Rattus norvegicus: one gene and its partner. The protein of the gene in region 2 purifies or fractionates together with the protein of the main gene of each other region. This does not show direct contact. Links are inferred from orthologs where the notes say so. Each region holds a gene or a part of one and is shown on either strand. Other genes may lie near its edges.

The links.
Region 1: the proteins of Ldlrad4 (region 2) and Wwp2 purify together in Homo sapiens (affinity purification with mass spectrometry; 3 studies listed by BioGRID and IntAct, counting the BioPlex papers as one, with this or other methods). This does not show direct contact. The link is inferred for Rattus norvegicus from reciprocal best matches to the Homo sapiens genes LDLRAD4 and WWP2.

The regions. Positions count from the first base shown.
Region 1 is NC_086037.1:52,249,329-52,264,811, reverse strand, and holds the start of Wwp2 (NEDD4-like E3 ubiquitin-protein ligase WWP2), read right to left. Parts: upstream 8,250-15,483; 5' UTR 8,185-8,249; intron 1-8,184. UniProt on the Homo sapiens protein: E3 ubiquitin-protein ligase which accepts ubiquitin from an E2 ubiquitin-conjugating enzyme in the form of a thioester and then directly transfers the ubiquitin to targeted substrates.
Region 2 is NC_086036.1:64,079,054-64,094,056, reverse strand, and holds part of Ldlrad4 (low-density lipoprotein receptor class A domain-containing protein 4), read right to left. Parts: exon of another isoform or gene 14,577-15,003; coding exon of another isoform or gene 14,507-14,576; intron 6,974-14,506; coding exon 6,819-6,973; intron 1-6,818. UniProt on the Homo sapiens protein: Functions as a negative regulator of TGF-beta signaling and thereby probably plays a role in cell proliferation, differentiation, apoptosis, motility, extracellular matrix production and immunosuppression.

The DNA of each region.
Region 1 (15,483 bases), on a different chromosome or scaffold from region 2:
TGTCCAGATTTTTCCAACACACATGCCCGCTTCTTTCCCGGCCTCTTTCCAGCATCCAGCACTGAACTGTCTTCCACTCACCAGAGGCCCAAAGTGAGAAGCAATCACATTCCAAAACCTTTACCAAACAGCATGTAAAAACCGGAAGGGAGTTTTCTGCTGGAAAGAGGCTAGCAGCACTAGTTACCTCCACCACACAATCCAAGTTTAACCCTAAGGAGGCCAAAGTGTTTCACCTGAGGTATACTGGAGGTGAGATCGCCTTGGCTCCCAAGATGGACAACTGGGGATGGGAAGGTCTGAGGCTGAGGGTGAAACCAACCACTCAGAGCAGACAGACCAAACTGAGATTGCACGTTCTGCCTCTGCCTGATCTTTAAGAAGGCACTAGGAGACAGAAAAAAGAAAAGAAAAAACAAAAAACAAACAAAAAATCACCGAGCACAGTGGAAATCTCACTTTTGATGTTATTGTCAACACCACCCCACAGAGGAGACACCAGTCTTCACCTAGAGAACTTTCTGGAACTACTAAGGAGATCCTGGGTGTTGTGCAGCCTGTGGGCTGCCATGCGGATGGCGGCTGTTCTTATGACATCATAGATGATGTCAGCAGCGGTGCAGTGGAATACCAGCTAGTTAGAAAGCACCAAGCTGATCAAAAACTAATAATACTCATAGAGGGAAATTATCAGCTAATAGTAACAGATGGCAAAACAGCTCTCAGGACAAACACCATAGAGAATGCATGAGTAACCAAAGGAAGAGACCCGCCCCGAGTCAAGAGTCCTGCATTGCCTAGGGATTACCACTCCAATCACTGTTTCTAAACCAAGGGAGTGAAGAGAACAGGAATCTCACAACCTTCTAAACAGATTCTAATTGGAATCGAAGGAACAAAATCGTCCCTGAGAACAAGATGTCAGCTCTTAAGTTATGAAGGTCAAAAGCTCACCTGGGCCAGGCTGATGAGATGGCTCCAACAAAAAGGTGTTTGTTGGCAACAGTGACGATCTGCATTCCATCCCACATGATAGAAACAAAGAGCAACTCCTGAAAGTTGTCCTGTGACCTCCACATGTGTGACATAATCTGATCATAATCTGACTTGATGTTCATGAATCCACTATCTTCCTAATGAAAACTTCAGATCCCAAGACCAAGACTGGAATCTAAGGGTCACCCATTGTCTTAGTTAGGGGTTCCATTGCTGTGAAGAGACACCATGACCATGGCAACATTTAACTGGGCTGGCTTACAGTTTCAGAGGTTTAGTTCATTATCACCATGACGGGAAACATGGCAGCATTCAGGCAGACATGGTGCTGGAGGAGCCCAGAGTTTCTACATCTTGATCCATAGGCAGACAGGAGGAGATTGGCTATGTTTCACATTGGGCATAGGTTGAGCATTTAAGGCCTCAAAGCCCCACCTCCACAGTGGCGAACCTCCTGTAACAAGGTCATACCTCCACATAGTGCTACTCCCCAGGGGCCAAACATTCAAACACCTAAGACTATGAGGGCCAAACCTATTCAAACCGCCACACCCACCCACTACAAGGTTCCATTTGTGTTAAATCTATAAGATAGCAGGCTTGGTAAAGCTGGTATTTTAAACTTTAAAAACCTATTTACTGCCCTGCCTGCCATTCTCTTTCTATCCTTGGAGGCTCGTAAACTGATTGCCAACCCAGAAAGTCAGAAATCCCAGAAGCTGGCACTTGGGCTGATTTCAGACGTACTCCAAGACAGCCATTGGAAAACAGCCTTCTCAACTAGAGCAAAAGAACCCTCAGCTTGTTTTCAGAAGGGCCTTTCTTTAACACTAGCACTTGTGAGGCAGAGGCAGGAAGATCCCTTGAGTTCAAAGTCACCCTTGCCTACATAGTGAGTTCTAGGACAGTCAGGGCTACATAATAAGACCTTGTCTTAGCCAGGAGAGGGTGGCACACAATGTTAATACCAGAACTTTAGAAGCAGAGGCAGGTGAATCTCTGAGTTCAAAGCCAGCTGGATGGCCAGGGTTATACAAAGAGAGAGAGACCCTGTCTTGGAGGAAAAAAGTGTGTATGTGTGTTGGCGGCGGGGGGGGGGGGGGGGGGGTGTCATCTTTATATGAAAGAGAGACCCAACTTCCCTGCAGTACTTAGGTGGTCTTTACACACGGCCCAGTGTTGACGGAGACTTACTCTACAAGTTCAAGCTCAACAGCAACATTCTTCTTGGACATATATTTACACTCCTCTCTGGGTGACCTAGTCCAGTCTCAACTCCAGGCTACACAATAACAGCTGCCATGTACACATCTCCTGCTCCTGTTCGCCACCAGACTTCCTCATCTAACTGCCCCAGCATCTTCTCCTGGTTCATAATAGGCCTTGTACAATCAATGTGAACAAAACTGAACCTAAGCCCTGGCTCCCCCCCAGTCTCTCCCTATGCTTTTGTTTACTGAGACAGGGTCTTATGTAACCCAGGCTGGATTCCACAGGATGATAACCCTGACTGAACTCTAATCCTCCTCCAGTCTCTGCCTCCTGAGTGCTGGCATTACAGATGTGTGCCACCACAGCCTACTTATGCCGTGCTGGGGATCAGACCCCAGGCTTTATGCGCACTACACAAATACCCTACCAACTGGGCCACATCTCCAGCTCTTTTCCCTCATTTAACGACAACTCCATTTTCTCCCTGTTCATATCCAAACCTTGAGTCACCTTTGCCTGCTCTCTCCCTCTCACATTCTATACCCAAGTCCTCATTCGCAGATCCTCCTGGCTGAGCTTCAGAGTATGTCCCAGTGCGTTTTCCTGTGTGACAACGCCCTCCTCATACATCTTTTTGCCTCTACCCTGGCTCCTCTTTCTCCTCCTCATAACAATCCCTGTTGAAAGGCAGGACAGTATCCACTCCTCAGCTCAAATGCTTCACTCATCCTGTGAAAACCAGCATTCACACAAAGGCCTACAAGGCTTTCCCTGACCTGCCCAATGTTCCCTCTCACACCCCAAACCCTTATGAACTCATTCTCAACACTCACTTGGCCTTCTCTAGCCACACTGTGTTCCTGGCTGGTCCCCAAACCTGTCAAGGTGTTTCTCCTTCCAGCCATTTGATCTTGCTTAGCCCTTCGCCTGGACTGCTCTACCCACACTCAGTCCTGTGCTCTATGCCTTCTCCCCTTTGGGATCTTCAGACAAGAGCCAGCACACCCGTAATCCTGGCACCCAGGAGGCTAAGGCAGAAGGAATATCAATTTAAAGCTAGCCTGAGCTACAATATAAATTCCAGAAAGTCTGAGCACTGACGAAGTGTGAGACCTGCCCCCATAACTCCCCAAAAAGCAGTGCTAAGATTATAGGTATGTGTCACTACATACACCTTGCTGAAACTCATTATATTGTCTTTAACATAGTAAATATAAAACATTACCATTCATAGCATATATTTATAGATTACATTTATATGATTTTACTAGAATATAAAAACATCAGATGGAGTCAGCAGTAGTGGCACATGCCTTTAATCCCAGCACTCCAGAGGCAAAAGCAGGAAGATCTCTGTGAGTTTGAGGCCTGCCCAATCTAAAGAGTAAGTTCCAGGGCAGCCAGAGCTACACAGAGAAACCCTGCCATGGGAAAAACAAAAAGCCAAGCAAACAAAAATCAACACAACATTGAAGTTTTCATGTTGACTCTACAAATTCTGATGTATCTGACATTCATGACTGTACCAAGGTTTGACAGCCTATGTGATCAGTGGCCTCCATACTGAACAGTAAGACTCCAGAACAATGCCTGTAATAAAGTAAGGGTGTACAACTATCTACGGAGGAAGACTATTTTCCAGGAAAAGACAACTCTGACAGAAGCTATGGTTTGAATAGGTCCCCAAAGTGTATGTTGTGGAAACTTTACCCTAGTGCAACAGGGTTGGGAGGAGGAACCCTTACGAGATTAGGTCACGAGAGGCCTGGTGCTCACAGAACACATGACAGGGCCCTAGTCCTATGCATATGCTTGTTCTCTTGCATTCTACGATGGAATGACTTAGCAAGAAGGCCCTCCAAAAGTAGACCCTCGGGGTTGGGGATTTAGCTCAGTGGTAGAGCGCTTGCCTAGGAAGCGCAAGGCCCTGGGTTCGGTCCCCAGCTCTGAAAAAAAGAACCAAAAAAAAAAAAAAATAGTAGACCCTCTGTCTTAATTAGGGGTTTACTGCTGTGAACAGACACCATGACAAGTCTTATAAAGGACATTTAATTGGGGGCGCTGGAGAGATGGCTCAGCTGTTAAGAGCACTGGCTGCTCTTCCAGAGATCCTGAGTTCAAATCCCAGCAACCACATGGTGGCTCACAGCCATCTGTAATGGAATCCAATGCCCTCTTCTGGAGTGTCTGAAGACAGCGACAGTGTACTTATATACATAGAATCGATTTCTTTAAAAAAAAAAAAGACATTTAATTGGGGCTGGCTTACAGGTTTAGAGATTCAGTCCGGTATCATCAAGGTGGAAGCATGGCAGCATCCAGACAGCATGGTGCACGCAGAGCTGAGAGGTTTACATCTTCATCTGAAGGCTGCTAGTGAAACTCACTTCAGGGCAGCTAGGGTGAGGGTCTTAAAGCCCATGCCCACACTGACACGCCTACCTTACTAAGGCCCCACCTCCTAATAGTGCCATTCCCTGGGTCAAGCACATATAAACCATCATACCCTCCATCTCAGACTTCCCAGCCTCCACTCTCAAGACAAACTTCTACAGTTTATAAATCACTCTGCAATGCACTGAGGCTGTACACAAGTATAGAGCAGGCAGGGTTTTCTCAGCAGTATAGGTTACATTATACATTTACAATCTTTTCTCTGACCCTTTTCTGTTTTTTTTTTTTTAAGATTTATTTATTTCATGTATGTGAATATACTCTAGCTGTGTTCAGACACACCAGAAGAGAGCATCGGATCCCATTACAGATGGTTGTGAGCCACCATGTGGTTGCTGGGATTTGAACTCAGGACCTCTGGAAGAGCAGCCAGTGCTCTTAACCACTGAGACATCTCTCCAGTCCTTTTCTGTTTTATCTACATGTCTTTTCTTTCCTTTTCTTCTCGTAACCCACATTATACCTGAACATTTGAACTTCTAGCAATCCTCCTGCCTCTACCTCCCAAGTGCTCAGATTACAGGTATATTTGCCACTTATACCCAATCTAATAGCATACTTTTTATATTTGAAAACTATTTTAAGATGAAATTTTTATCGCTTCTATGAACTAAAAATACTATGTCTAGAAATAAAAAACCTAGGTGGTAGAAAAGGTGGCTCATCAGGTAAAGGTATCTGCTACCACCTGACAACTGGAACTCGATTCCCAGGATCCATATAGTAGGAGAGAACCAACTCTTGCATTTGTTCACTAGTTCTAGAATCCAACATCAGGGCTTCAGCAAGCCTCAGTTTCTTCATCCTCGAATGAAGCAATGCAACCTTCATAGAGCTGGCATTGAATGAGACACTGGGCCAGGCGCAATGGTGAGTGAAGGCCTGGACCCTAACTCTTGAAAGGGAGAGACAAGAGAATCTATCCTAAGTTCCTCGGCAACATAACCAGTTTGAGGCCAGCCTGAGCTATAACTTACCTTCTATCAAAAAGCCAAAAAAATCACAGTTTGACCCTGTCTCAAAAGAGAGAAAGGGGGGGTTGGGGATTTAGTTCAGTGGTAGAGCGCTTGCCTAGCAAGTGCAAGACCCTGGGTTCGGTCCCCAGCTCCGAAAAAAAGAAAAGGGGAAAAAAAAAAAGAGAAAGGAAGGAAGGAAGGAAGGGAGGGAGAGAGGGAGGGGAAGGGGAGGGGAGGTTGGTTGAGCACAGTTAATAGTACAGTTTTAATTTCAGCACTTGGGAGGCAGAAGCAGGTGGATCTTCATGAGTTCTAGGCCAGCCAGGTCTACACAGTAAAACTTTGTCTCAAATAAATAACCAAAAAAATAAAATTAAATTAAATTAAATGAGAATCTGGTATCAGTTCTTTGCAGATGGAGACATAGTCATTAAGTGAAAGACTAATATGGCCTGAGTGGTACAGGCCTCAAATCCCAACTACTGTGGAGACGAAGGCAAAAGGATCACAAGATCAAGGCTTGCCTGAGCTACGGGAATTTGAAATCACACCAGACAACTTACTGAGATCCTGTCTCAAAAGGAAAAAATAAAAATTACAAAAAAGAAGGGCTATGGAGCTCAGTGGTAAGGTACAATGTTCAACAAAAACCAAAAAAAAAAAAAAAAAAAAAAAAAAAAAAAGTAAAAGAGACAGACAAGCCAATTGAAGCCTTTTCCTCATGGTTTTCCCATAGACCAATAACACTGAACAGAGAAAGTGACAGAAAACTTATGTTCAAACCCTTTGTTCACTACATACAGCAAGCAGTGTGACCTTTAAAACCTCATTTATTTCTCAAACACTGACCAAGTACTCCTAACACAGAGCTAGTAGCCAAAGAAGTCATGTAATATTGGATCACAGCCCTTGAATGATTTACAGTCCTAGCAGGAAGAAGACAATAAACAAGGAAGAAAAACAAAATGAAGTGTCAGGTTGGGACTAACGAGATACAGGTAAGAGCACCTATAGCTCTTCCACAGGACCAAAGTTCAGTTCCCAGCATGCAAACCCAGAGGCTCACAACCACCTATATCCCTAGCTCCAAGGGACCCAACGCTCTCATCTGGCCTCAGTGAGCTCATACACACAGGAACACACACACACAAACAAAATTACATTTTTTTTTTTTTTTGGTTCTTTTTTTCGGAGCTGGGGACCGAACCCAGGGCCTTGCGCTTCCTAGGTAAGCGCTCTACCACTGAGCTAAATTCCCAGCCCCAAAATTACATCTTTTATTTTAAGTCAACTCTCTCAGTTTGTTATCTATGAAGTGGGAATGACTTCTCGAGACTGCTACAAAAATTAACTTTTAAATGCTTGTAATATATCCCCAAGTCTTCAACCCCTAATGTATTAATGTTTTTCCCCCCAGCGACCTTTGATTCTGGTTCTTGTCACTGTACCATTTGAACCCTGACACCTTCGTTGCACTCATAAACTTCATTTCACTTCTGCAAACCTTAGCAAATGTGAAGGGGAAAGAGGATGTTTGTTTATTCAGGTCTTACTGGTTAGCCCAGGCTGGCCTGGAACTTGAGGCCATCTTCAGGACTCAGCCTAGAGGACTAAGAATCTTAAGATGGGTATTTTAGCCTCAAAAACTAAGATCTAGGTCACAGTTCTAAGGAACACAACAGAAACTTCTCAGTCACCCCACCTAGTCACAGCTGGTCAAGATAAGCAGTCACACAGTAAAGGAAGCTGCATAATTTAAGCTTTAGAGGAAACGTATCAAAGCGATATGGGAAGACTTTCAACGGTCCAAGACTTCAGCAGTCAATGCATTGCTGCGGTAACGCTGGTCCATGTCGCTGCTGACAACAGTGTAGGTTAAAAGTCTTGTTATGATCACAGCAAAGCACCTACACGTCTTTAATTTTTTTTTTTTTATTTTTGCCTCGAAGATGACCCGATCTGGGAGCATCTCAAAGAAAGATGATAGGAAGGGCTAAGCTCCCAACAAGTGGAAACCCTACCCAAACAGGGCAAAGTGGGTGTGACCAGAGTCAGACTACCAAGACTCAGGGATCCCTCCTGAAGTTTAAAAACTAAACAGGACCGGTATCAAAGTCTCGGGTCGCCATCATCTTCAAAGAGGACGGAAGGAAGAGACTCTCAGAATGGGGTCCAGGCCGCAACGTCCAGATTTTTCTTCCAGTCTCTACTAGCCAGACGCCCACTCCCAGGCAGCCCCTTCCGGGGAGCATGCGAGTCTCCCCGGCCGAAGTCGGCCCCCCTTCACAGACGCGGCTCCTCCACACCGCAGGCGCCCAGGCTGGGGTCCCCTTCCGGAAACGCCAGCAACGGGCGACTCCCGCCGGGCCCCGCGCCCACCCCGCCCGGGCGCGAGTCGGGACACCCCTCCTCGGAGGCCGGAACCGCGCGCCAGGCCCCTCCCACAGGAAGCCGCCGCCCCCCGGCGCCCGCCCCGCGCCGCCCCCGGCCCCTCGCGCCGCCCGCCGCCCCTGGCTGTCCCGCGCCACCCGCTCGCTGCCGAGCCCCCAGTGCCCGCGCAACCTACCTGCCGCGGCCACACCAGCGGCGCCTAACTCCGCTCCACTTCCGCCTTCCAGCGCCCGCACTCAGACCGGGTCACGTGGGCGCGCGCGGTCACCTGACCCGGAAGAGGCTGGCCGGGGCGCGCAGGTGCGGACCACCTAGAGCCGGGCTGTGAGCATTTGACCCGGTGAGGGCCGGAGTGAAAGGACCACCAGGGCTATGCTGGAGCGGGCGTATAAAATGAGGGTTCACCGGTACCAGGGGCTTTATTTATTCCTTTGGAAGCAGGTAGAATTGTTTTTTCCCCATAGTACAGGTGGGAGAAGATCATCCGGTCAGTTAAGTCGGCAAATCTTGTAGGGGTTGCTGGATAAAAACCAGTACGCTCCTTACATTTGAATGTCAGATAAACCGTGTCACTATAAGCATGTCCCCAAATTTGCAAAGAATGTATTGACACCATAGATGTACGCTGGTCAAAACCTTAAGCATCTCGTGTAATTTTGACAGCCGGTGCCAACTATGTGCAAGGCCTTGTTCTCAGTTCTGGAAGTATAAATACCCTGGCCTTTGTAAGTTATCTGCTATTGTTCCAAAAAACAAAACTGGGAAGGGGGATGGGAGTGGGGCACGGGACAGGACACAGACGACATGACATCCCTTCAAAACTTTTCTCGAGTCCATAAGTGCCCCCATGGGGAATCAACTCCCATTATCTCCGTATATGCAGTAAACTGAACCTTATGAATTAGCAAACAGGGAGTCTATGTAACCCTGGCTGACCTGGAACCCAATGCTGTCCTTGGCCTCCTAATTCCTGGCATTGTAGGCGTACCTCACCACAGCCTGGACAGCAGAAACTTTCTGGGTTTTGCAAGATTGACAGTCGAATCTAACTGTCTGCACAGAACTAGTCAAGGGCGTTAAAACTGACCTGTGTTCCCAGCCATTTTGCTAACTTTCTGGTTTTTCTTTGGAACGGTCTTGTTTCAAGTGCTCCAACTAACCTCGAACTTTTAATTCCATTACCTCAACCTCTGAGTAGTTAGGATTACCAGCTTATACCATTGGGGCGGGAGGCGGGGGTGAGAGAGGAGACCAGTGGAGGCAGAGTTTGTAACCTAGGCTGGCATTCACCTCCCAGTTGATTGTTCAGCTTACAGATAGGTGCCATACCACCTGGCTTTTTGTTGGGTTTGGTTTTGTTAACTGAAATATTAAATTTTTTTTTCTTTTCTTTTCTTTTTTTTTTTTTTTCGGAGCTGGGGACCGAACCCAGGGCCTTGCGCTTGCTAGGCAAGCGCTCTACCACTGAGCTAAATCCCCAACCCCCATATTAAATTTTTATTACATTTTATTCTATAGATGTTTCGCTGGCATGTATACTGTGTACCAGCTGAGTGTCAGGAGCCTTTGCTGAGGCGTATCTACCAAAAGGAAGTCTTTATTAGCCACTCTGTGACGACACTAGGTGTTCAGGAGCCCTGTGTAGTATCGAGCCTTTCACAGGCCAAGGTTTTAAATGCAAAACTCATGTTCTGGGTTGACATACTCCAGTTAGCAGAAAGAGTCAGAAGCAGAACTACAGAAGCCAAAAGGCAAGGTTAGCACATTTAGAGACTCCCAGACACATGGACTTGGGTGGATTAGGTCTTTGTTTTCACTTTGGCAGCTGATGCTGTCTGTGTGCTGAGTTTTATGGCCTGAGTGGACTCCCACCATGGAGTCAGCTCTTAGCGAGTGAGTCAAATTATGGACTAAAGAGGGAGAAGTGGGCCAGGAAGTGAAGTGCACCTTTACTCCCAGCACTCAGAAAGCAGAAGCCAGTTATCTTTGTGAGTTGAAGGCCAGCCTGGTCTACAGAGCAAGTTCCAGGACAGCCAGAGCTACATAGAAAAGGTGTTTCAAAACATAAAAAGCATAGTTGGTCCTAAGGACCATTAATTTTACTGAACGGGATACACTGATAGATAACTGGCCTATCATTCAGCCAATCAGAATGAGAATTAGAGGTCCATCCAGTGCTGACAGCAGAGTAGTTAGCCAGGGGACCAAGAAAACAGACTTTTTTTTTTTTTTAAGATTTGTTTAAAAAAGAAAAAAAAAGATTTGTTTATTTTATGAGTACACTGTAGCTGTCTTCATGCACACCAGAAGAGGGCATCAGATCTCATTACAGATGATTGTGAGCCACCATGTGGTTACTGGGAATTGAACTCAGAACCTCTGGAAGAGCAGTCAGTGCTCTTAACCTCCGAGCCATCTCTGCAGCCCAAGACTGGTATTATTTGATTTATGTCATTGTCTGTTTTTCTTTTTGAAGTTTTCCTCTACCATGACAAGACTTTTTCCTAATTACTCTTGATCAATTAGCATAAAAATGACAGGTGTCCCCCAAAGCCATACATAGTTTCCTTTATCTCCTGAGAAGTATATCCAAGTCACACTTTTATCAGTCAATGGGCTGACAGTCTGATTTCTGGCTGGGGATGATGAACTCTATCCTAGGATCCCTTCCTGTGGTATTGATTGCCCTGGTTTCCTCTGTTTTCCAAAGGCCAGAATCTTCCTTAAGGGATTTTTCAGGAAGTCTAAGTTTCACAACTCTAATTTTTGCAATGGAAACTCCCTTGTTCCAGGCAACCAGAGGGCCAGGCCACAGGGCTTGCATGGAATTGTAAACTCTATATTCCTATCTCAAAAGATAAATTCCCATATCTTTTCTCTCTCCAGTTCAACCAGACTTTTAAAATGGGCATCAGGAAGTGAACAAAACGGAATATGGCTTGCTGGCCTGTAGCCACTTTAGACATCACCTCTCCTGTATCTGCCTTTTTCAGTTCCCAGAAGCAGGCACGAAGGCAGTGGGGGTCGGACCTTGACCATGTCTATGTGCACAATGAAGTTCTCTATCTATTTCTGATTATTAGTTGAAAGGTTTTGGGCTCTGAAAGCCAGACCATTGTCAGACCCCATTGCTAGGGGAGGCTAAATCAAGGGGCCAGTTCCTGGAGGGGTTTTTACCTGCTATTTGAGCAATTTCATTCTGGGTGAGGAATGCGTCTATCCATCTGAAAAGGACTTGTATCCTCCCCTGGTAGCTCGATCTCAGTGAAGTCAATTCTCCCAGAGTTTGCCGGGGTGTTGACGTCTCATTCAGAACCCTTTCTGAATAAGGGATCTCTGTTTTGGATTAATTGAGCACAAGTCTGGCATCTGGCTGAGACATCTTGTGCCAGGCTGTCTGAGCAACACAGAAAGTTTTGTCAGGCTACTCCAGATGAGTAGCCTTGTGAAGGTCAATTACCAGAGTCCTGCCAGTTGTTTCTGGAAGAATGATCTTTCCCTTTGGTGTCCTCCACCTGCCTATAGGTTTGAGCCATCCATTTCTTCTTTATTATGGAGGCAATAGGCCCCACTGGTCTTAGGACCATTTGTTGGATGGCCAACAGCTGGCAGTGGAGGCCAGCAATTCATAGGGAAAGCCAAAAAATCTCTAGGAGGGCCAAGATTTTCCAATGTCCTTTTTCATCCAGCAGTGAGAAGATCCTCTTTCGCTATAGATCATACTGTGGAATGCCCAGCAGTAAAAGCATTGTGACGGTCCATGTATATGATAGCAAACTTTCTTTACACCATGTGAGAGCCTGGGTCAGAGCAATCAGTTCTGTTCTCTCGGCTGAAGTCCTTGGCTTGGGCCAAAATCATGTCAGTTCAAGTACAGCTCTCTTATACCTGGTTCATCTTTCATCTTGTGACAGTCACGGACAATTACCTTCATTATCAGGCAAGAGGGTAGTCGAATTGATGGCCTTGGATTCTCACTTGAGGGTAGGCCAGGAGTAGGGCCCACACAGGCTTTAGACAGCCAGCATTCTGGTGTTCCTCAGAGGAGGGTCTCAGTCACATGGGACCTGGGGGTTATAAAGATCCTGACCCAGAGTTAACTTGTTTGTAACTAGCAGTAGCAGTAGCTGCCACAGCTACAGGGTCCAGTTGTTCAACAGGTTTGTCACAGGGTTCCCACAACCCCAAAGTTTGGGTTAAAATCCTTCTTGTCTTTCATTTCCTGGACAAACAGATGACAGATGACAAGGTTTTGAGACACCCGGAAGTGCTAAGGCTGAAGTCGGAGCTGTTTTTAAACTGCAAATACTCTGGCTTAGTCTCAGTCCATATCAGGGGCTCAGTGCCTACATTTGTGCTGGTGTAGAGTCCTTGCTATTTCCACAAGCTTGTATTCAGAGACAGCAATACTTAGCTGAACTCTCCAGTCTGTCTCTAATGGGATCTGAAGGAAGGATGGCCGAAATCCTACTCTGAGACAGACTCCTTTGCCTCTCCTCAGCTGGTAGCTAAGATAGGTAGCCTCTGATATACAAAGTGTGGCTTTCTTAGCTGACATTTTATAGCCCAAGGTCTGTACAGTCCCTCAGTGGCCCTTTTATAACCTGTTTTCCTGAGAAACCTCTGACAGAAAGGCAGGATGTCAGCATTTATTGCCTCATCAAACAGGGAATTTTTAAATCTTTGGAGCAACCTAGTCCATGTAAGTTAGCTACTGTAACCTCTCTCTGAATCCGTCCATTTAAAAGCAAAGATGAGTTGACTCACCTCACCAATGGGAGGCTGAAGAATGTGTGGTTCAGATCCAAGAGAATGTATACCTTTTCCTCTGGAAGAATCAGACTCATGAGAATCAGAGGTCCCAGGTTTCTTCATAAGCAGAGGAGGTATGTTCCAGGATGACTAACAGAGCACCAGGATGCCTGTCTCCAAGCCAGGAGAGACTGCAATTTCCCTTTTTGTTTCCAGAACCACTGGCTATTGTTTAATTTGCTTAGGGGTAGCTGAACTGGTTAGTCGAACAGTTAATTATAGGAACCTGGTGTTGGGCCAGTCCTAGGGGGTTGGTTTCTGTCCCTACCCCTATGAATCTTTGTTTTCAGTAGGAGAGATAGTCCCACTGTATCTTTTGATTGGAGGTAAAGCTCTCAGCTAGGAGATAGATATTATCTGACAAAGGGTGAGACACCAAGACTTTGCCGGGTATCTGTAACTCTATGTCTCACCATCAGAGAAGGTGAGGTGGCTTTCAGTTGATGCAAAAGGTCCTGTCCATTCAGTTCTCTGTTACACACATGACACTACCTCCATGCAATGGCTATTCCTGGTTGCCAACTTGACTATGTCTGGAAGGAACTACAGTCCAGAAATGGAGGCGCACATCTGTGATCAGGATCTTGAAGCAGGACACAGGCCTTTAATCAGGTCTTGAGGCCAAAAGATACACCTTCAGTCTGGGCCACACCTTCTGCTGGCAGCCTATGTAAGGACAGTAGCAGGAGGGCTTGCCTTGCTAGCACATCCATTCCTTCGCTGTTCCCTCACTGGCATCAGAGCTTGAGAGAGAGAGAGAGAGAGAGAGAGAGAGAGAGAGAGAGAGAGAGGGAGAGAGAGAGAGAGAGAGATTGATTCATTCCATAAGTCTGGAAAATCCTAATACACTCCAGCAACTGGAACCTGCTTATACTTTAAAATTTTTCTAACTTCTATAATTTCTTTAATAACAAGAGCTGACTGGGTGACAAAGGAAATCTTTTTTTTTAAGATTTATTTATTATATGAGTACACTGTCGCTGCCTTCAGACACACCAGAAGAGAGCATCAGATCCCATTACAGATGGTTGTGAGCCACCATGTGGTTGCTGGGAATTGAACTCAGGACCTCTGGAAGAACAGTCAGTGCTCTTAACCACTGAGCCATCTCTCCAGCCCCAATCTTTTTAATCTTTAATCCTTCTAAAATGGACCTAGCAAAAAAAAGTTTTGTAAGTCTCCATGGTTAGTATTACCCAGAAGGGAAACTCCTTGTCCGGCATCGACCCCCCTGCCAAGACCAGGGTAGTTTTCCTACTTTCTTCAGAGAATGGCGGGTTCCCAAATCAGTAGTTTAAAAGCAGACGAATGAAAGAGAAAGGAGCAGGACTTTCTCTTTTCCTTCAGGATCAGCCCAGGGGAACTTTTCCCCTTCCCAGGGGCTGCTTAGAGCAGGCATGGGATGGGGGAAAGGGAGAGAATGCTCACCTGGGGGAGGAACTATTTCCCCTTCCCTTCCCTTCCTGGGATGCATCCCTCCTGTGTGTGTGTGTGTGTGTGTGTGTGTGCGCGCGTGACCCACACTGGTGAGCAGAAGTCAAGCAACAAAACAACAAGTTTGGTTTGGTTTGGTTTTGTCTTGTTTGTTTTTTGTTGGTGAATAGTTTTGTGGCTTTGTTTTGTTTTCTTGGGGTTTTTTGTTGTTTAGTTTTGGGTTTGTTTTTTTTTTGTTGTTGTTTTGTTTTTGTTTTTGTTTTTTTGTTGTCATTGTGGGGTTTTTTGGTTTTTGATTTTTTTGGTCACTTGGGTGACCTGGCAGAGCCAAGAGGATTTGGGTCCCCAACAGGAGAGGCACAGGTCTTAAGCCAGAGGGTTCTCTTCAGAAAAAGCCATTGGTTAATACAGGGAAACAAACACATGTCATATCTATATGCTAAAAACCCACTGAACAGAATGGGAATCCAGTGACATCACACATGGTTCCTGGACACTAGTTAAGTGGCCACTCCTGACCCCTCCTATGTGTCCGAACGGAAAGCGCCTTAACCAGACTCACCTCTGGAGGTGACAGACCAGGTGGCGTTCTAATTTGCTCCCTTTCAGGGTTGCAGTGTCAGACTCCTATGAAGTATTAGACAGGGATTGATCAGAAGACTTGGGGATCTGGAATTCAGGTTGTGCATTCCCTAGGAGTTCCTAGACTACCATAATCGTACCCACTCCTAGAGTCTAAAACCCACAGTGTCTTAAGGTCAGGTCTCTGGGAACCTCGGTGGGATCTCCAAAACTGTGGAGAATCTTCGACATGGGTTTAAGCCAACAGAAAGTTTTTTTTAGCTAGCCTGTGACTACACTAGGTGTTCAGGATCCCAGTGTAGCCCTGAGCCTTTCTCAGGGTGAGGTTTCAAGCACAAAAAAACATGTCAATACTTTAGTTAGCAAGAACTGTTAGCCAGAAGCAGAACTGCAGAAGCCAGAAGGCAAGGTCAGTGATTTCGAGGCTTTCCTGGAATTATGGGCTTGGGCGGATCGGTCTGTGTTTACTTCTTGGCGGGTGGTGCTGCGCGTGCCGAGTTCTGTGGCCTGAGCGGCACTTCCACCATGGATATAGTTGCCTTAAGGTCTGGAGCCCAGTTACACCTTTGGAAGCCAGAAGAGTATGACCTCCCCAGGAACTGGAGCTATCAACTATCATGAGATGCCACGTGGTGCTGGGAATTGA
Region 2 (15,003 bases):
CTATGGGTATGGTGCCCACCTTAGAGTCTCTGCATAGGGAGAGCCAATGAAGGCACCTGCCATACTGGGCACGTCCTGGAAGGTCTGCTAGTCAGGGCCGAGCCCTGGAGCTTTGAGATATACTGGGGCTGTTATCTACTGTCCAGGACTTCTGTCTTCCAACCACCTTTACTCCTAAGGCTTCCAGAGGCTGCTGCTGGTAGGAGGAGCTGCAGGCAGCCCACAGTCAGTCCTCTGTTCGCACTCACGGGCATTAGCCACAGAGTTCAAGGCCCTGTCCCAAGGAGATGACTAAACAGCCTGTCTGTCAGGGCAGTCACAGGAAGTGCTTTGTTGACACAGACATAGCTTCACTCCTGAAGGAGCAAAACTGGTCTCTACCTTCACAATGGCATGTGGGATGTTTTTGGTTTCTGGAAACCAGAAGCCCTCTTAATTCATTTTTTGTTTCCTGCCTGTGCTAAACACTGTTTTCTTTAAAAAAAAAAAACGAACAAAAAACCAGCTCTCATGCCAGGTGTGGTGGCTCATGGCCGTGACCCCAGCACTTGGGAGGCTAAGCAGGGGGGGCATGAGTTCAAGTCCAGACTGGACTATGGTGTGAGATCCTGTCAACAAGTAAGCATTGAGGACCTGGAGAGAGAACTCAGTGGTTCAAAGCACTTGATGCTTTTGCAGAGGACCCAGGGGTTGATTCTGAGTACTCACATGGTGGCTCAGAACCATTCACAACTCCAGTTCCCTCTCTCCTGACCTCTACCCACACCAGCCATGCACAGGCATACATCAGGCAAACACTCATACGCATATGATAAAAATAAACAAATTTTTATAAGACACTTTTTAACATGCCCCTACACACACATACACACACATACACACACACACACACACACACACACACACACACACACACACACACACACACATTTACCACAAGGCTGCAAACCAGTAGGTAACAATGGTATTGCTACAGGACTCAGGAACAAGACAGGATTACAACCACAGAGGTGCAATGACCCATCTCCTGGGGCATCTACTCTCAGGCCCATCCTGCAAGGCCAGGGTGGCCCAACACACCAGAGGAGATTTAAATTCCAAAAGTTGTTTGATGTCGCCCAATTCTTAACAACTGGGTCAACTTTTGTCAGAGGGGCAAATGGAAGGCACCAACCATGTTCCAGGTCACATATGTAATTTCTTCAGTGTGCAGACGTACTCCACACCAAGGTCCTTGGGGGTTGAGGAGTATATTGTATTGGCAGAGGCCTACAAAGGATTGGTTCTCTTTCCCAGCAACCAGGGAGACAGAAAAAGTGGACCCAAGTAAAGCTGAACTGGGAGGCAGATGCTTATCCTTCCCAAACTGCTGGTGCAGTCTCTGTGCAGATCCCCAGACATCTGATTCCACACAACTGACCAAGCCCCTGTAGCAGCTGGTAATGAAGAAATGTGAGCTGTGACTCTTCTCATTAACTCTTAAACTGGAATTCATCTTTCTACAAAGTCAATAGTGGCTCGATGTATACTATCTCACAAGACTCAATCTGAGTAAAACTCTCGCCCCTGCTCTGAGGCCAGCCACCTCTGCATGCCTACTGACCACAAACCCTGGGCTGTCCGGATGTGGTTAGCAGGACCCACCTGGCGGGGGGTGCAGCTGTCAGAAAGGACATCTCAGACCTCGCCAGCTGGGAAAGCCTAGACCCACAGTTCTCAACAACAAAGGTCATGACTCCTTTGGGGATCACATATCAGATATTCATATTATGATTTATAACAGTAGCAAAATTACATCTATGAAGTAGCAGTGAAATAAGTTTTTTGTTGGTGTAGAAGGGTCACCACAACATGGGAAGCTGCATTAAAGTGTCGCAGCGTTAGGAAGGTTGAGAACCACTAGCCTGTCTGGAAGACCGAGGGCCTTTTATTGTTTCCTCATTCTTTGGTAGTTTAGGATAATGGGAAACAATCTAGATGGTCTCTCAGCCCCAGGCCACACAAACAAGGTACTTGTAAACATTTTGAGGTTGCTTTGAGAAAAACAAAAATGAGATTTGTGTCACAAATCTATCTCCTGCTGCGGTCATCATTTGAACCTTTGACTTTCTTTTCGTTTAAGCCTGAGCTACCGGTTTTCATTTTTGTTCAGTGACTTTCACTGGCCAGTATAATCCCATTGCCAGGCAGCCCTGTCACACACATTTCAGAGGGAGGTTGACAGGCCTCAGGCACACGGAACCCTCCTCATACTTCAAACCTACAGTGTCTCAAAGAATGAATGAAGGGACGAGGGTTGTTGGCAATGGGAGAAAGGAAAGTTATGGAGGTAGGAGCAGCAAGTCTCATCTCTGTGAACTCCCTCAAGATTGTGCTGTCCAGAAAGATAGGACTCATGGGCCAAGGACAGCTGGACTGCCAGTATTGTCTCACAGGACTGACCCCAGGAATCAAGGTCAGTCAAGTTTTTGAGATCCTGTTCTCTGCATTTTCTAGTTTGATTTCTGCTGCTGTTAAAAGGGGGGGGGGGTGGCTAAAGAAAAGAAAAACCCACTCTGACCAAAAGCAATGCAGGGAAGAAAAGGAGTTATTTACCATATACTTCCAAGTCACAATCCATCCCTGAGGGAAGTGTTAGGGCAGGGACTCAGCTAGGAGCCTGAAGCATGGTGGAATACCATTGCTGGTTCTCTCATACTCATGCTCGGTTAACGTTCTTATATATCCCCAGACCATCTGCCTAGGAATGGTACCACTCATCATGGGTCCTCCCACTTTGGGTCCTCCTGCATCAGTTAATAATCAAGACAACCCCCACAGACCAATCTGACCAATCTGATCTAGACAATTCCTTAGTCTAGGATTTCCTCTCCGACGACTGACACTAGGCTGGAAAACTTACAGTTCAATCTAAGAAGGTCAGCAATTCACCCTGGCTTTTCCTTTGGATCAAAGCGAATGCCCGCTCATGAGAAGAGAGGCTCCTCACACGTTCTCAACCTTTTAAGATGAACACAGCATCATAATCCCAGTAAAGATCCCACATGGGTCTGCAATACAGAGGCGAAAGACCTGGAACACTGTCTCTGTGACACTCAGTCTCAGAACAATGAGAGGTTCCCCACTGAAAGGTTGGCAGGAACATTCTGCACCTTCGTGCTGCCAAGTAGCAGGGTGTTTGAGGTACTTGCTGCTCACACTGCCAAGAGAGGTGATCCTGGGGCTGTGGGCGCTCACTAAACAAGGGTGCTTCAGGATCTAGGAACAGGGTTTGGATAACAGATATGGTAGCACAAGGCAGAGGCAAGTGGACATACACATCCATCCTCACTCTGTCCCAAGTTCCTCAAGTCAACATCCCATCCAGGGGCAACCTGGTCAAGTGAGGGGACCAAAAGCAGAGTATCTTCTTCTCTATGATGTGACTGCCAGGCTTTTGCTAGCTCTTGGCAGGAAGACGGTGAACACAGACTTCCATATTGAGAGGCCAAAGGAGGCAACCTGGAAAAGCCAACTAGAAGCTGTCCAGACTGGCCAGTCATGGGAGTAGAGGAGACAATGGGTTCTCGTGCGCAGTTCATAAACATGGGGATGGGATTGGTTTAAGCATCCCCAGTATGATCAAGAGGGTGGTAAAAGAGCCTGGACCTTAGCCAAGGATGACAGCTGGCTGCTCTTGCATGGTCACTTTGCTATCTTGGCTATGATGAGGTCTAGGGAAGAATGAGGGGGGCAGAGGTAGATGGAAATGGCTAGGGAAAGTGTCTGCAGGCAGAGTCCCCCAATGGCTATGTCCTGGGTGATACAAGAGAAGTGTGCCCTTCTCTTTGTGGGCACACCAAAGCAGCCAGGAGATGGTGTGCTCATGAGCTGGTGGGCTTGGCGACAGTGTGCTTAGACAGGTACTCAGCACAAGAGTCTGTTTCTCTGGGTTGCCCGTTGTAGAGCCCCTGAAGCACACTGTAGGAAGATCAGACAATGTGTGTAGCACGATGTCCTCGGCTGGAACACCATCTCAGCCTCTCTAGGATGTCCGCTAGCTGAGAGTCAGATGGATAAGAAGTGATCTGTTTTTTCAGCCCCCGCAGAGAAGCAACAATCCAAGGAAGGAGTTAGGGGTGGGGTAGAAAGGACAGAAACTCAGGTGTGTAAGGAGAAAAGGAAGGTCTGTTTCCTCTTTATCTACTTTATCTCTCCTGTTAGAACCATGAGCCATGCTGATAGTCCAACTGAGAAAGCAGAACCCCAGTCTAAGACAGAAGCACCCTGGTTACAGTGTGGAAACACACCTTGAATGTTATGAGACATTCCCTCAGAGCCTAGCCCTCAGCTGGGTGATATCTACAGGTGTGGTTGACAGGGAAAGAAGCCCTGGGGATGAACGGGACTCAGCTGTGGGTCACCAGAGAAAACTGAAGTTTCACGGTAGCTCAGGAGTGAACGCCCACACTCTTCTCATGGTCACTTTATAAACACAGGGACTAAAGGCATGCCTGTCTCCTGGCTACACCTTGGAGTAGAACCCAGATCTCAGCACACAGCTTACCTCCACTCACAGAGCCCCCTCGGTAGATAAAACCCACCAATTACTGACCGTCTTCGTTCCTACTCAGTATACATCCTAGAAGGACCTCTCAAAGTCAACTTCCCACATTCCTGCCAGTCAGCGTGCTACCACTTCCTGGCTCATGGTCCCCATGCTCCCACAGAGAGCAGCACTGGGTAGACCATCAGGTAAAACCACACAAGAACTTTGTTTCTTGCCCCAGTCAAGTTGTCTTCCTGCTATACCTCTTGGTTAGTAAACACAGGACATATGGCCAGGACACAAAGCTTAAAGGCAGTGACAGCAGGAGAGCATGGGGCTGGGGCTGCACCAGGGAGACACAGATTCACTCAGAGGCTGTGGATACCCTCAGTCTAGGCAAGTGCAAGAAGAAGACCAAGGGAGGGGCCTTCAAGGCAAGACACCCTGAGTGTCTAGGGACTCCTGGAGCACAAAGTGCAAGATGGGAAGATGGGACATTTTAGAGCTAGAAACTGCTAAGTCTTACTCAGGGAGTAGAGCTAACACCCAGGCTGAAGTATTTCTGGTAATCCATACATACCTGAGTGCATCGGCCTATTGTTTGGTGGTGATGTAAGAGTTGTACCACATCTGCCAAGGAGTGGCTGGTATCCACAACAGTTATATTAAAGCAAAGACCCTGTGTGGCCCTATAATGGCTGCTGTAATGAGAGTTTCCTCGTCTTCTTTCTTTGAGCTCAGGACTTTGGATTTGTTCTCTCTTCAGAGATCTGAGCTGCCTCAAGAATCCGTAGTGTCAGGATGGAAAGTGTGGGTACCAGAGGACAGTGATCCGTAGTGCCGAGGTGGATACCAGGGGATACCCAGAGTTTCATTGTGGTATATAAAGATGTCAAGGAGGACCAGAGGAACTGGTTAGCAAAACTGGGGACCAGAAGAGACTGAGGAAGGCAGCAAGAGAAAATGAGGAAGCTCACAGGAAGTGGAACTGTTAGGTCAAATTCTGTCTGCCACCACTGTCCCAGACTGTGAGGTGAATACAGCACACACACACACACACACACACACACACACACACAGGCACACGCACGTACACACACAGATGCACGCACACACATACACACACACACACACACACACACACACACACACACACACACACACACACCCTTCCTGTTCTCTGTTGTGCTTACCTCTGCCCCCAAGAACCCCCAAGCCATTAGGCTCCCCGGGCAAGCAAGATGCTGCCCTATTTAGAGCTGTCCCAGGCACAGGTCCACACTGCCCATTACGATGGTCATACCCCATACTCACAACAGCCTCTCCTAAGTCAGACCTCCCTTAGGAAGTGACCAGGAATCCCTGGTCTCTCATAAAGGGCATTCTACAAAGAATGTCTCTCCCACTACCCAGAAAAGGGTGGAAGAGGAAAACTAGATGCTCCTGTGTCCTACACCGACATTAAGAATCTAAACTCAGCTAAGTGCACTATTTCCAAGTCTCTTGCTAAAAGCCACCAGGATTTATGAACAGATTACAAAATAGGTGGAGAACATGATGTCCCAGCAGCCCCTGGCCTCCCAGGCTTGGTTATGGCTTAGCCATACATCACATTGTTTTACGAGGAGAGGCAAGAAGTTGAGGGCAAGAGATAGAAAGTTCTAAAGAGCACGGACTGAGGCGCCTCACGGGATGGCTTGTGCCACCCCACCCGCCCGGTTCACCCTGTTCCATCTAAGGAGGCACGCATCCCACTGTCCCCTCCAGCTGGTTCACATCCGAGAGTTGCAGCCATATCTGCTAATGTATGAGGACATTACTTATCCCTGGACCAACTCCAGGACCTGATCCAAGCAAAGATCTCTATATACAACGTGGTGCTGCCCGAATGAAACCAGACACAGGAGAGAAAGCATGGGTGTGGAGGCCACGCCTAGCAAAACTAATTAGGGCTGATGGCCAATAATCAGGCAGCGGAGACTTTCACACATGAAAGACCTGAGCCAGCTGTTGGAGGGCGTTAAGTCACTTTCCTGGCTGGACCCTGGCTGTACGTGAGAGGTCACTGAGCTGTGTGCACACACACAATGTGTGCACACAATGAGCACACCTTTCCAGGTTAACCGTCAACCCAAACCGCTAACACCGCAGCATTACCTCAGTACCTCAGTGAGCCGACCAGCGACAGGCGGACTATCCCACCCTCTAGCCTTTACTATACCCTGTCTGGGTTTGCAACCCCAGAATGGAGCCCAGGGGCATTCCAGATGGCGCAGGCCCATACACTTACCGGCTGCAGCCCGTCCTCCTGTCTCTGGCTCTGGTTGGGGCGGTTGATGAAGGAACGTGTGGAGACTTTGTAGTGGTTCAGTAGGCAGACGACGACCACCACCATCACCGTCACCACCACGACAATGATGAGGACCTGCGCGAACTCCAGTTCCGCTGCAAGGAAGGAGGAGGAGGATTGTGAACAGCGGCCATTTTCCTGACTATGGTTCCCGTAACTTCGGGCAGTCATGACCCCTCCTAGATACCCCTCGAGGGAAGACAGAAGCTATGGCTCCATTTTGGAGGAGAAGAAAAGGCAATTGTAAAAGTGGTGCATGGCTGGGCTTGAACTCTGCCTGCAGATACTGTGGATCACACGCAGGGCTCTGGTATTGTAACTTTTTAGACAAAAGGGAGGTTCTGGGAGTGCCCTGTCCCACAGATCTCTGCTGCTCAGCTTGGTGAAGTTCAAAGACCTGATCTTCAAGCTTAAGGCTTTAAGGAAATGTTTTGCTGGCCCGGTCTACCAGACCGCCAGGGTTTTGGCTGCAACTTTCCTCACTGACATAGTGGAGTTCAAGGTCAGCCCTGTGAGCTCACCACAGGCAGCTGTTGAATTGGCACCCGTTCACACTGGGCCAACCTCAGGACAGCTCAGACTGTTTCTTCAATTCCCTTCCTGTCAGACAACACCCACCATCTCTCCACTCTGAACTGAGGCTGCCCCCACTACCACACCTACATAACCTCTCCAGAAAATGAACTCGTCTTCTCTGGTTGAGCCAACTTTCTCAAGAGTGCCACTCACAGGAGCTGTGCATTAGAGAGAAAACAAATATAAACAGGCCAGCTTCTGCCTCTGTTTCGGGGGGGGGGCGCTATGCCTTTGTAAGTGACTTAGAAAGCATATCCCCATCCTATAGGCTCAGTGATTGAGTGGTAAGGTTCCCAGTTCCAACACTAACGTGACGAATGGGTCATTAATATGCCATGTATATGCATGCCCAGAGTCCCTCCCTGATTCAGCATTCCGGCCACCATATTGAGCAGAGTGTACATACAGTCAGTGTTTCTCATGATACTATGACTACAAGAATGCTGTGGCTTACGTTGCGTTCTCAGCGTCTAGCACATGGTGGTGCCCGGCAGGTAGGTAAACAGGAATAGGAAGAACAAAGACTGACTCAGGAACATACTCAGGCCCAGAGAAGGTGTTCATGCCCACAACTCCAAGGGTCATGACTCCCTGAGGCCAGCCATAACGGGTAAGACAGACCTCTACTGGCTGCGGGTGCAGAGGGAACAATGAGAGCACCTGTAGGGTCCTGGGAATCCATGCCACACATCCAGTCAAAAACCCAAGGACAGCCACCTCCATACACAATATGTAAGGCAGGAAGTTCGGTCTGTTCAGGCCAACGTGAGCTTAGAAATGAAGGTGGGATCTTAAGCAATTCTCTCTCAAACAACGGAGTTGTCACAAACTGCCCTTCAGATTAAAGCATGCCCTCAAGTTTACCAGTGTGTTTCCTTTTGTCAAAAGATGGAGTTGCTTATCAGACCCTGAGCAGAAAGAAAGGGATTACAACCAGGAGACAGCCACAAGGACCCTTGGTTAACCCTTCACTTGACGGCTCTTTCTACGCTACATTTTCCTCAGTACGGAAGCCTGTGAGAACGCAGCAAAGAAAACCAAGTTGTGTTTTTGCAATTCCATAAGCCTCTCTGGGTGGATGAATTCTCTCTGAAAATGATCTTATTACAGAAGTGTTTAAAATCCTTCAAAAGACTGAAGGCTTAAATATTATAGAAGAAAGAAGTCTAATGCGGCCGAAGCTCGGCAGCCCTCCCTGACTGTAACCACTCCATGCCATCCTGGTGGGGAAGTTGGTCTGGTTAGTATGTCTACTAAATAAATACTGCCTCCTCTTAATTATGACCAAATTATTGGGGGGGTTGGTAAGGAGAAGGAAAGGGATGCTATGTGTATATGTGAGTGCCGGCACAAACTTGTCAGTTCCTTAAAATGGACGACCATTTAACAATGTGGTGTGAGAACCACTTTATGAAAAGCTTGTTGCCTACACCCTAGACTCTGGAAACTTGCCCTTTTCTTTTTTTCAATATTTAATTAAGAGAATTATGTGTATGTGACCATGTGGTTGTGTGCCTGTGAGTTTGGGAGCCTGCGGAAGTCAGAAGAGGGCACTGGATACGCTGGAGCTGATCTACAGGTGGCTGTGAGCTATAAGACTTGGGTGCCCTTTGGTCCTCTGCAAGAGCACACGTTCCTAACGGATGAGCCAGCTCTCCAGCACCTTGCCACTCACACCCATTTAATAGGCAAACCTGTGCATGTTGCCGGGCAAGATAACCAAACCGGGTACAAACCTGCTCAGCCTGGGAGAGGGCAAGGCGGACCGAGTCAAGGCCAGCCTCCTCTACTACAGCAAGGCCCTGTGTGAATCAAGCATCAAAAGCAAACCTTACTTTACGTCTATTTATTTTGATTTGGTATTGCGGCTCCCCCAATTGCCGGCAATTTCTGATCTTTTTCTGGACTTAAGGGTAATTTATGCTTCTCTTTCTTATAATTAATTTGCATTAGTCTATTTGTAGTTTTTTTTTCATGAATTTCTGATGCACTTATGAGAAATATTTATATTTCATGGCTACAAGATTTTGTTCCATGTGTTGCAAACACTTTCTCCTTGTCTCTTATTTCTGTAAATTCTTCTGGAAGTTTCTCTACAGATGATATATATATATATACATATATATACATATATATACATATATACACATATACACATATATACACATATATACACATACACACACACATATATATACATATACACACACACACACATATATATATTTTTTTAATGGTACCAATGATCCTCTCAGTTTTTTTCTTTGCAGCTAACATTCCCCAAACTTTTCTTTCCCTTGAAAAACTTTTACTTTGTTCTTCCATGTTTAGATTTTTATTTATGTTGCATTTTATACCCTGGGCCCAAGACAGCGCAGGGTGTTCCAAATGAAACGACCGAATGGAATGACCTAATAATGCAATTACTTCAAAACCTAAGCCAGGGTGAGCAAGATCTCCATCACAGACAGTGCATAGCAATGTGTCCTTTGGAAGAAAGAGTCCCACCTTCTCCCTTTTCGTGAAGACCAGTGTGTCAGCCTCCATCCCAAGCTCTCCTGGAAAGCTGCCCTATAAACTCACTGGAGTGCCCTGCCCCTGCTGAGCTGTCTGCAGCTGCACACAGCTTGCCCTGGGGTTTCAAACATGAGCTCAGAGCCCTGGCAGGGACATCTAAGGCACCAAAGCTTCCCAGCAACATCAGGAGTCCACAGGTACCAAAGTGTCAGGGAACTGAGACACATGCAGTAGGATGGGATAACAGGTTTACCCAAGGGCTTTCGAAGCATAAATAGGTTCCATGGAAGTGGGACATGGGCTAAGGCAATCACCCTAACAGTAATACCCAGGGGCACCCTGGGGCAATAGGAGACTGATTGAGAATCTGAGCCACTTAGGCCAGGCATGGAAGGCAGCTCTTCTAGCAGACAAGAACGAAATCCAGGGTGCCCGGTCCCTAAGGCCAGAATCTTAACAAGTCGTGACTGGCAGCAAGGATGTGTCTGGATCTTAGAGCCCCACCCAGTTTACATCAGGGCCTCTAGGTTTAGGACCCATACCACAACACCCTAGGAACAGGCTAGGGTGGGAGAGAAGGTTCAACCAAAGCCCGGCTACCTGAGCTTAGTCCCCGGAAGAAAGAAATGACCCCTCAAAGTTGTCTTCTGACCTCCATATGTCTGTCGTGGTGCAAGCATGCTGACACAGACAACTCCATCATACATATGCGAGCGTGAGATAACATCAAATTAAAATATTGTAAAGTCTACCTACTCTTTGAACTTGGGGCAAAATAGTCAATGAGGACAGATCACTTTTCCCATTTAAGTTGCAAGAAAACTAAAACTGGGAAAATATGAAGATTAAAAATACTCAGTGCTAGGGGAAACCAAAGTGAAAACCATTAAAGGGGGGGGGTGGTCCCCAGGGATGAGCAAAGCTCAGGGTCCTGCTCTGTAGAAAGCCCTTTCTCTGGTGCCCTCTGCACCTTCCCTCCCTCCAAGCTCCACTCTCCCTCTCCCCCTCCCCTACACGGCAGTCATGCCATTACTTTAAACAGGAGCCTCTGCCCCAATTCTGCACAGCTTTTCTTTATGTGGTGGGGGATCAGAAGGGTATGATGTAAGGAAGCCCAGCAAGCATGCCTCCAGAAGATGTTTTTGGTTTTGCTTCCAAGGGGTCAGTTAGGAAAGGGACGCTGAGAAGAGAATGAAATTTTGAAAGAAATATTGAGATGGGAATACTTCTTAAGCCCACAGGAGTGGCAGCATTTTGAAAGGTAATAGGATACTTTTAAGGTTGCCATTTTTTTTTCATTTAACCCACTATGGATTCTGAGCACAGCCCCCTGGTCAGGTCTCCCTCAGTCTCAACAGTTATGGGTATCAACAGAAGCAAGGCCACACAAGTAAAGGACTGGAGGTTAAACCAGTTTCCCAAGCTCCTGTTCCTTTTATGGGACTGTAGTTCAAGGTGCAGTGTGTGACTCATTGCCACCCAAACACCAGAGATTCAGTAATGAATTCAAAGCTTACAGGAAGGGATTACTGTGCTTTGGTTTATTATCGTAAAAACAGTGTCGATGACGACAGTGATGACGACATCTGTATCTGTATGGTGACAACTTCAAGAAATTCTAAGCTGTACGGGGGGGGACTGCGGGAACAGTCTGTTTGGAGTATGCTAGTCGGTTCCTTGGTCCAATGGGGCCCTGCACTGAATCATACTGGAGGCGTGAATGTCTGGACTATTTTTAATGAACTCTGGGGAGATGTGTTTGTACTACCCTTGGGTTCCTAATATAACACTCACTTCTATTTGTGGGATGGCTAGCACCGTCTTCCATTCAGCCTCTCTTTGGTGAAATACATCCTCATCTGCTGAAACCAAGGTCTCTAAATGTTTAATTAGTTTTAAGTTCCAGGTGTGTGACATATTCCCTCACAGACATCCTATAATGGAAGAACACGGCGTGGGCTCTGTGGTGAGCCCTTCCTTTCACCAGCAAAACAGACGCCTTGGCAGCATGTGGGAAAGCGGCCATGATAAACACTTACGTCACTGCCAGGACTAGCCACTCCTCACAGATCTCTGAGTGATTCGACTCCCATTCTTACCAACAGCAGCCCCTCTAGTTTACTTTCCTTCCTGCTCAATCTGGGGACGCAGAGCCTGGAACAAGACAACCGGCCTGCCACAGAATCCCACCCTCTTGGCAGCAAACTCCTTCCCAGCAAGCCTTTCTAACTCCCTGCCATGGTTCGAGGCACAGAGGACAACTTTTCCCATTGGACTGGTCTTGTTCAGTTTCTGTGCAATGATCTTGTGTCTATATTTCTTCTTGTGTCTGTCCTGCTCAGCAGAAACAGGTGTACTGATATGATGACAGCCACAGGGGTGGATGACTTGCATGGTTCTAGGACACCTGTAGATGGCGGATGTTCCTATAGTCTAAATTCTTTCCAAAATCCTAGAACCTACAGCACGGTGGCAGGAAGGTGGATGGGGCAGGAATTGGAATCTATTTAGCCTATAATTGCCTTGAGCTTGGGAACTATTAGTATAAAAATACTCTTGACAATTTGAATGGTTGAACAAAAATTCACACTCATTAAACACCACAGTCGAGGGGCGACATTCAGGCTCTGTGACAAAAATGACTTTACAGCTGGAAGTTCAGGTGGCAAAACAATGAGGGCTCCTCTAGCTCATGATTAGATTACATTTTTAAAATTTCATGTTCCTTTGTGGTCAGTCGGTTACTCCGATTTATCTTTTAATGGCAAACAACCAAAGGGAGAAATTAAAGACAGAACTACAAAGGTGGCCAAGTTTTTGCAACTGCTGGCTGTATCTTTCATTATAAATTCTTCACTGACCCGTTGATAACAGGCTCCTGACCTTTACGCTGCTTCCTATATGCACGGGTCCCATTCTGTACTGACACTCCTTTTTAAGGTTTGCCCTCTGACCTTCTCTCATACACCATGCCCTGGGCTATCTATCTTGTCCCCCGTAGCTTACAGATTGTTGCATATTGCATACAAGGTGATCAGGTCCAAAGCAGGAACTTCTGTTGGCTAATTTGTTTGTACGGCATCTCTCATGGAACCATATTCTGGCAAACACTCACCAACAACTTTAATAACGCTAACATTTTGCCAGAGATTTTCACATTTTGCACCAAGAACCCAGCACAGATCGTCACCAGAGAAGAAGGCTCATGGTTGCTCTAAGGTATCAGCTTATATATCCCCATTATATCCCTGTATGCACACAGGCAGTTTGCATCACAAGATTGGAAGTGGTATCCTGTGATCCAGGATAACAGGACACATCCCTCCACCTTCAGTCCCAACCAGGCACCTGCCAAGGCACAGGTAGGCTGGGAGCAGAAGGCAGGGATTTGAGTAAGGAATCCCCAGAACACAGACTCTGTGCAAAGTAGCATCAAAGGCCAGAGCTCCTACCTAGCACAGCTCCTTTTCTTTACATACATCACAACCTAGATTATCTTGATCTCTTCAGGGGAAAAAAAAGTTGCAATCCAAGATGACTGACAACTTTTTCTTTAAATACAGAAACAAAACAAAGCAGCGGGGGAGTAAAAATATAAGAGTTAGAAACCTTTTTAAAAAAAATCCATCCCCTGCCCTTACTATAAATGGGAACTAAAAGTACCTAAAATCATATTCCTCCCTTATAGGAGTCATTTAAAATCCACCCTCACCTCACCTCCACATTATAAATTAAGAAGGTGTCAGTAGATATACGGCTGCACATGTAACTGTCTTAGCCACGGTTACAAGTGTGTGCTCCTAAGCCCGTGCTGGCTGGCAGCCTGCTTGCCTTCCACTCTAGCTCCCCATCGCTCTTGGGGTCCACTTCTGTTTCCCATTATCTCTTATTACCTGGATAACCCCCCCAAAAAAAACTAGTCAACAATCCAATCGCATTAAAAGAGATACATTTTTTTTCTTTTCTTCCAAATGTTATCTTCAGCAACTCACTATCAGTCAAAGAGGAAAATTTTTAGGGCATATGAAGGGGGGTGAAATATGTATTATATATATATTCTCACACACACACACACACACACACACACACACACTCATCTCCCCCAACAGTAACAAAGTAATTGCAAACCAAAGAAGATGGGAAAAGCACCCTTAAGATCCCACCTGTCAGAGCCAACAGACTTCTCTGAGGCAAAAGAAACTTTTTTTTTCCTTGAGGTGGGGTCTTCTGCATCCTAGGCTGGCCTCCAACTCACTCGACTCACTATGTAGCTGAGGAAAAACCTTCTGATCCTCCTGCCTCCACCTCTCAGTTTCATGGGCTACACCACGATTGCCAGGTTTGAGGGAAAAAAGTCCTATGAAGGACTTAACTGTTCTGCTTAGCTCTGCTCAGACCAAACTCCAAGGGAAAACACACACACACACACACACACACACACACACACACACACACACACACACACAGAAAGAGAGAGAGAGAGAGAGCCCCCCATAGACCCTGCATCACTCACAGCTACCCTTTTGCAAATGTACCTTTTTTAAAGAACAGGTCTTTAAATTGAACCTCCTTCAGTGAGCTGTTGCTTGGCTGGTCGATGGACATAATCAAGTCCTTTGCAAGGGACTCCAACTGTGGCACAGCCCACCCAGTTCAAACCATTCTTCAGCTTCAGCCAATCTCTTCTCCAGGCAGCTGAGAGCTGTAGTTATAGCTGGTGTGTGTGTGTGTGTGTGTGTGTGTGTGTGTGTGTGTGTGTGTGTGTGTGGAGAGAGAGAGAGAGAGAGAGAGAGAGAGAGAGAGAGAGAGAGAGAGAACTGTGTGTGGTAGAGGGAGTTCTTAAGTCTTTTTCTACTCTATCAGCAGGGGCCCAGCCCAGGTGCTAGACTCAAAGTCTGTGGCTCCAACCACAGACTATGACTACCAATTATCAACTGCCATCAACAGAAATCAGGAGGTCTGTGGCAGGAAGCTGGCGATGTCACAGACAGTAAGCCCAAGCGCCTCCAATCCCAAGAGCACTCAGTGTTGT